2 linked regions of the Rhinolophus ferrumequinum genome follow. The protein of the gene in region 2 purifies or fractionates together with the protein of the main gene of each other region. This does not show direct contact. Links are inferred from orthologs where the notes say so. Each region holds a gene or a part of one and is shown on either strand. Other genes may lie near its edges.

Region 1 (3,746 bases), on a different chromosome or scaffold from region 2:
CTTCAATGTTGCATCAAGTTGACAAAATAATCGAACGTTGTGTAGGCGACCAGCCATGTTCATATCCTCAATAAGAATTAAAAAGCAATGGCGAGTCTCGAATTAGTCATCGCTTCCCAAACATTAACTTGTAATCACAGTTGAACGAGGCAGGACTCGGCGATGAGTCAACCTGCAGTGTATTTTCAAAGGCTTGTGTTAAAACCAAGGCACGGTAAAGCGCAGCTCAGGTCCTGCGCAACGTGCAGATGTGGCTAATTTAAAAGCATTTCAGCAGACTGTAAATAATAGCCTACAATTGGGAAATCAACACGTGAACCTACTAAGTTTGATAAGAGTGAGCTTGCCCGAGTTCCAAGGCACAAGGGAAACACAGGGGTGAAAGCACTAACTCCATAAACAACTTCCAGGAAAGTCTGGATCCTGTATTCATAAAGCGCCGGGGCCGCGAGGAAAATAAATGCTTTCGGGAGGGGGAGGGGGAGAAAGAGTAAGAAACTACAGGGACTGGATCAACCCCCACCCCTAATCAACACTGGAAAACAAGAGAACAATTATTTGACTCTCCAGGAGCCTGAAGTGGACCGAGAGGCCCCGAAGGAAAGGGGGCTCGGGGCTCAACTTCACAAACTCGGCCGCCGCTGGCAACTCACCCACACACAAATGCCAGAGGCCCCCCTCCCCCTCCCCACGGCGGCGGCGGCGGCGGCGGGAGCGAAGGTGCTGAGCGCGCGGAGGCGCGCGCATTGTGCAAGCCCACCGCGGCCCGGGCCGGCTCTCCCCACCCCCTTCCTTCCTCCCCACCTCCCCCGCCACTCCCGCCAACCTCCCGGGAACCCCAGGAAGAAAGAAAGAAAGTAGGGGGAAAGCACGCCCCCCGGGGCTGCAACCGCAGAGAGAAACTCCGAGGGGAAAAACAAATCTCGGCTCCAGACTCCGGGAGGAGCGGGGAGCCGGTGACCGCGGCCCAGCAGACGCCTCCGGTTCCTCCACTTCTCTGCGAGAGCCCAGCCCCGCTCGAGCTCCCGGACCCCCCACCTCCCGGCCAGGGCTGGCCACCGCCGCTCCCGACCGCCCCCGGGCCCGGGGCCCGCCCGACGGGGAAGTAGGCAGAGGAGCGGCGAGGTTACCTGTCGGGAGTGGGATTTGGGCTCCGGCGGCTTAAAGAAGGAGTCAGGCAGCTTCCGGAGCCTCATGGGCACGGTCTGGGGCACGTTGGCCGTCTTGGGGTTCATGACGGCGTTGAAAAGCGCCTCCAGGTCGGTCTCCGAGTCCCCTCGGACGTGCACGATCTGGTGCCCGGCGGGGGGGGCCTGAGACGCCGCTTGGGACCCCGGGGGTGCCGGCTGCCCGGGCCCGGACGGTGGGCCCTGCCCCTGGGGGGGCTGCGCGGACGGCTGCCCTTGGCCCTGGGGGGCCGGCTGAGGCGGCGGCTGCTGCCCGGGATCCATGGTTTCTGCCTCCCCCGACGCGCACCCCGACCAGGCGGGCGAGGGCTCCGCCCGGGCGCCCCGGCTCGACGGGCCGAGACCGGAGAAGCGGCGAGGGCGGCGGGCCGGGCTGCGCTGGGCGGCGGGAGCGGCGCTCTCCTCGCTCTCAGGGCCGGGGGGCTGCGCCGCGGCCCCGCATCCCCCGCCCCGGCGCCTCCGCCCCCGCCCTGCGCCCGGGCTCCACTGGTCTGGCGGCTGCGCCTCGGGAGGGGCTGCGAGAGACCCGGACCTGCGGCGCCTGAGAACTTTTTTCCTTCACTCCTTTGACGGATGCCAGACAGCTTGTTGCTTTTCCCCTCCCCCTTTCTCTTTTATTTCCTTTTCTTGTTCCTTCCTTCCTCCCTTTCTTTTCCCTGGCGGCGGCTGCGCCCGACTGAGACAGAAACTCGCCTCAAACGCCAAAACTAAAGTTGAGAGAACCGCCCGCCCGAGCCGCTCTCCGGCTCCGCCTCCTCCAGGCTCTTCCTTCCTCTGCGCGCCCGCCCGCACCGGTCCCGGGACCGGCCGCCAAGGGAAACTTTCCCCTGCAAGTTACTACATTCCAGCAGACTCCCGGCCTCGGACGCCCCTCCCGGCCGCACGTGACCAAGTCGCCCTCAGCCCAGGCCTCCGCCGGGGCTTTTCCCGGTCGGGCCGGGAGCACGCCCGTCGATCCGGGCTGTGAGCGCTGCCGGCCCGGCGACCAACGTTGGGTCCCGTCTGGGTCGGCTCTGGTCTCTGCGAGCGCGGCCGCCCTTGGCCGCAGGAAGTCCTCCCGCCCAGCCCGGCCCTTTCCCGGCCAGTCCTCGGGAAAGGCTGAAAGGCTCTCAGTTCGCCCCGAAATGCTTAAGGCTGAAAGACGTCGGGAGGGGACGCGTAAATCCACTTAAACCCTCCTCGCGTTAGCTCGACTGGACCAACCGGAGTGCCAATGCGGGTTTAAAGCCTCAAGGATAGGTTGGAGTGAATATAGATACCCGTAACAGGCACTTATTTTAATAAGGGTCCTTTTTTTAAAAAACATTAACTTGATGTTTTTCACTTTGTAATATGCAAAAAAACTCCTTGAAAGGGATAAACGATTACTGGAATTTGAAGCTCTGAGATTAATCAGTGACTAGTAATTTACTAAAATACAAAATTGCCTTATTTAAAAGTGAAAACCTTTTTTTTAACCACTGAAACTTGCAACATAGTCATGAAAACCTCAGCGCAAAGAATCAGTGCTCAACTTTGGCTAGAAGCATTCCTCTCTGTACCTGCCTTTCATCCTCAAGGGGGTGTGAGCCCACCCCTTTTTGTTATCTCTGTGCCTGGCACAAGGGTGGACTCCATGAATGTCGACTGAAGGAAAAAATGAATGGGAGAGGAGCTCACCCAGGCACCTGATTCTCCATGTGGTAGTGCAAGGAGTCCATTTGAAATCATTAAAAGCAATGAAAACAAAATTTAACTCATACATTCCGATTTTTTTAATAAGCGGCTTTATTGAGATAATTCACATACTATACAGTTCAGCCATTTAAGAAACTCAGTGTTTTTAGTGTATTCAGAGTTGTGTAGCATCACTCTGATTTTAAATCCACTAGCCCATTCTAAAAGAAAATCTAACTTCTTGTTTTAGTGATGTTGTCTATAACGCTAGTGGATCAGATGTATGAATAGGTTGAAGCAAGAAAAAGTCCCCAGAGCAAAAAGGTAATCTTCCTCCAGCCAGGACCTGCCCAGGAGAATTTTGAGGAGGGATGTGTATCATTTGGTTTGGTAGGGCAGGGCCAGGGGAAGAGGCTTCAGGCCCTCGAGATTCTAAAGCAAGGTCCTAATCAACTGCTCTGGACCCCAATTGCATGTGAGAAAGGAATCCCCCTCAAAGATGTCTGATTGCTTCTTAGATTTATCCCCACTCCCATACCAAAAATGTTAAGTGCATTTAACCATGAACTTGTAGGTTCTGAAGTTACAGAGATTCGAGTTCAGGTCCCAGTTCCACCATTTACTAGCTGTGAGACATTGGACAAGTTACTTATTTCCTGTTCTTTAATTTCTTTAATATTGGGGTTAGGGGTAATAACAGCTATTTCATATGTTGAGGAATTAAATGAGTCAATGGGTATAAAGTAAGTACGTAGCCCGGTTTTTGGCCTGCGATGAGTTCTGCGTAAACGTCAGCTATCATTGTTGTCCATGTTCACAGACCACTTCACATGTAGTAAGTACACAGCCTCTCCTTTGCAGCAACCCCCACTCAGGATGCTGCTGGCAGCCCCTTCCTCGCCT
Region 2 (3,746 bases):
ATGAGAGCTCTCAACCAAAGGTTGCCGGTTCAATTCCTGCATGGGATGGTGGGCTGCACCCCCTGCAACTGAAGATTAAAAACGGCAACTGGAGTTGAGCTGCGCCCTCTACAACTAGATTGAAGGACAACAACTTGTAGCTGATGGTCCCTTGGAGCTGATGGCCCTTGGAGAAACACACTGTTCCCCTAATGAAAAAAATTTTTTAATTGCAAAAAAAAAAAAAAAACAAAAAAAGAATTACTAATACCGCTATCAGCTATAAAGATATTCAATGATGAGGAAACACTCTGCCACATGCTGTAAATTGGATCCAAGAAATTCCATAGTGTAAAATATGGGAGGCTCACTATTTCGAGGCAACTGAAAGACTGGGGTGAGCCTGCTACAGAGGGCCAGGACAGGAGCAGCCACATGATATCCAAACAGGGTGCAGGAAGCATTATTGTGGGGATTTCACTGTAATTAACGTCAATGATCACAAAATTTCTTCTGGTTTAAGGCAGAACTGATCAGTTCAAGTTAATTATACCAAATCATTTCATCAGTTCCCTCATGACAACAAATACTCACAAATTAGAGATATACTTACACTTAAATTGTCAAAGTTCATCATTTGTATTTGTTAAAATGTTGAAAGCTATTCACATTAGAAACATTTCTGAGTTTTGCACTGTTTCATGTCAATCCAGAGAACACGGATCAATCAACAGTATGGAAATAAAATATAATCTATACAAAATTTTTAAATTGTAACCTTAACAATCCAATTCCAAAATAGGACCCTTATTGTTCCTTTGTGGTTGTCATTCCCAACAGTAAACAAGCAATACAAATATCTGCTTAGAACAGTGTAAGTGCTCCATCAATATTTGTTGAATTAACGAATGAATGGCAATTAAAGCTGGAGGATTCTCAAGACAGAAGGTTACTGAATAAAAGGAATTTATTAAAATACTCAGCCTGACTCAAGCAGGATCCCCTCATTAAATCCTGTCACATATGATTTCATTACTTGTTTTCATTACTATTGCTTTTAAAAAGTTACGAGAAATAATCATACCATTTCCTTTGTTAGCTTCTCCACACTATAACTCAAAAGCATTTAAAAATCACTTTGAAAGAATAAACCCAAAGTGCTGCTAACATTTATGTTCAGATTTCTGCCACTCCCTATTTTCTAAAGATGTGTATAGGCCATATTGTTGTATAAAACATAAATACTAGGACAATGAATACAAGTAAAATTACAATTAAGTTTACATATTATCACCACTAATTAACATTTAATCAATTCAGCATCGTGATTGGTGCTTGTAATGGAAGTGAATTATGTCCACACGATTCCACTTCAAAATCACTAAGAATATTATATTAGTTCACAATGAACCTTGTACCTGTCCATGCTTATTTTAACAATAAACTATTTACAATAATATTTAAGTTGAAGAAAAGGCAAATACCAAAACTCGTAAAATCTTTTAATTACACATTTGTGAAAATTATTCAACTACTAAGCCCCTTTTCTGTGCAAAGAACTATACTAAACACAAAAAAAGTAAATGTACACATGAACAGCAAGTTAAAGGGGGAAACTTCTAGTGCAAACTAAAGTACCAAAAGTTTAAAGAAACTGCAGTTTCCTGTAAGATATAAATTTAAAAAGAAAAAAGTTTTCGCGTTTTAAATTCCACACGCATTAGTTACATTATTAAAATCGACTTCATTTCCAAAACAGCAACAAAAACTCATAGCTTATAAAAAAGGGTTAGGATTTACCCGCCACCAGTTTTCCCAATAACTACTTTCATTTCCCCATATTTAATACAAAAGAACACTGAAATGGTATAAAAGTGTGCAATAATTTATCGGGATTATGTATCAATAAATCGGCGGTCTACAGCAAGCTTGACAAATAATACCACATGCCGATTTTTTATTCAGAGTGATTGATTGTAAAGAGACGGGGCGGGGGCAGGGGGGAGCCGGAGATACGAGTTCAACTGTACACATACACCTCCCTAAAAGCGAAAGGGGTATTTTACTTTCTTTCCACTATTGTATTATTACAAACAGCCCCTAAGCTTTAGATACTGCTGTGACAGAGTGCGTGTCATCCAGGCTGAGTGGATTCGAGCAAAAGATGTCACTCAAATGCAAGTAAAAGTACGGTCCTGCGACTTATTTCGAGTTTTCTTTGCAACAGTAACCTAAGGCTGCTCCTTAGTGACTTAAGTCTAAAAACCAGAAAACCAGCAAGCCTCCCCGCCCTCCGTGGTCAATCAAGCTAAGAAAGCAACCTTTGAAAGCAAGGGGGAAACGGGGCACCCCCAAATCTTGGTGCTTGCTCCGGGCAGAGAGGCCCCCGCAGTGCTTAGATGCCTCTGCCACCCCGGGGGCCTCCCGAAGTCCCCTGGCTGCTTCTTGGGGCGACAAGGGCCCCATTCCACCGCCGGCGCGGTCCAACCCAGGAGATTAACCCCTTCGTGCCCTCCCACGTCCTCTCCGAGAGGGCCCGGACGCCCCCTCTCCACTGTTCCCTCGAGAGGGGGGCCCAGCGGGATCTGGCGCGGGTCGAACCGGGGCTGTGGGAGGCCGAGAGTCGGAGGCGGCGGGAGGCTCGGGGCCTACTCCCGGGCAGCGTGTCCCGGCGCCCTCCCCCACTCCCACACGCTCGCTCCCGGCCAGGGTGCGGGTGCTCGCCCGCCGCCCGCCCCGGAGCCCGCCCGCCAGCGGCTCAGGGCCCCTTCCTGCCGAGGGCACGGGCCGGCGGCTACCTGTGGACCGTGGAGGGCCATGGCGGCCCGTTTCAATGAGCCTCCACGCTCGTCCGGCTCCTCACGCTGCTACCCCTGTCGCCGCCATCTTCTCGCTCGCACATACACACTCGCATCGGCCGCCGCGCCTGCGCACTGGCCACGCGCCGCGGGGCGCGGAGAGGCCGGGCGCGCCGCGTGCGCGCTGCGCATGCGCGGCCGACAGGTGGGCGTGCGCGGCGGGAGCCGGCCCTGGGTGGACTCTGAGCCCGCTTTTCTGCCGCGGATGCGGGCCTGCTGTGCGCCGAGGACGAACCCCTGGACCCCGGCTGCGATGCCGGAAGAGGAAAGGGCAGGGGATGGAGGTGATAACGCCAAAACGCCCCGCAGGCCTGGGTTTCTCACCTGCGGGAGGCCACCTAAGTGCTGGGCGGAACTCGGGACGTCGGGAGCCCGGGAACCGCGGCCCTGAGGTCGGTCCGGGTCCCCCGAACCACAGGGTCTCCTTAACCCAGGGTCTCCGAAGTGACCGCTGAGTTTCCGGAGGAGTCCCCTGGTGTATGGAGATCACATTTCCTTTTATTCATTCACTTATTCACTCTTCATTCATTCCACCTACCCGGTGCCACGCCTTTTGCCAGGCATTGGAGAATATTAAAAACCAAACCAACCAACGCACTTGTAAAGCTCATAGCGTTGAGGCCTGGCATAGAATAAGCACGCTCAATTACCTATTACACACATACTACATGTATCTAGCTAGACCAGCTTTTGGGTCATTGGTTCAAGAGACAGTGAGCCCCCTACCTGACCACGCAGTTTACCATCTGGTTTGGCACGGTTTCTAACCTCAGTGATCCCAGGCAAGCTACTTCTTTTTCCTAAGTTTTTGGTTTCTTCACCTACAAATGAGACCAATAAAATGTCTCGTAAGATTTCTTTGAGGATCAAATTAGGGGAGTGTGAGCACACTGGCCAAGAGAGCCAGCC

The links. The genes of interacting proteins can lie anywhere in the genome.
Region 1: the proteins of USP10 (region 2) and YAP1 purify together in Homo sapiens (affinity purification with western blotting; 4 studies listed by BioGRID). This does not show direct contact. The link is inferred for Rhinolophus ferrumequinum from reciprocal best matches to the Homo sapiens genes USP10 and YAP1.

What each region holds. Positions count from the first base shown.
Region 1 is NC_046294.1:71,674,281-71,678,026, reverse strand, and holds the start of YAP1 (transcriptional coactivator YAP1), read right to left. Parts: upstream 2,361-3,746; 5' UTR 1,670-2,360; exon of another isoform or gene 1,550-1,669; 5' UTR 1,452-1,549; coding exon 1,131-1,451; intron 1-1,130. Other genes in the region: CFAP300 (cilia- and flagella-associated protein 300), read right to left, coding at 3,635-3,746. UniProt on the Homo sapiens protein: Transcriptional regulator with dual roles as a coactivator and corepressor. Critical downstream regulatory target in the Hippo signaling pathway, crucial for organ size control and tumor suppression by restricting proliferation and promoting apoptosis.
Region 2 is NC_046298.1:30,044,620-30,048,365, reverse strand, and holds the start of USP10 (ubiquitin carboxyl-terminal hydrolase 10), read right to left. Parts: upstream 2,912-3,746; 5' UTR 2,799-2,911; coding exon 2,778-2,798; intron 1-2,777. UniProt on the Homo sapiens protein: Hydrolase that can remove conjugated ubiquitin from target proteins such as p53/TP53, RPS2/us5, RPS3/us3, RPS10/eS10, BECN1, SNX3 and CFTR.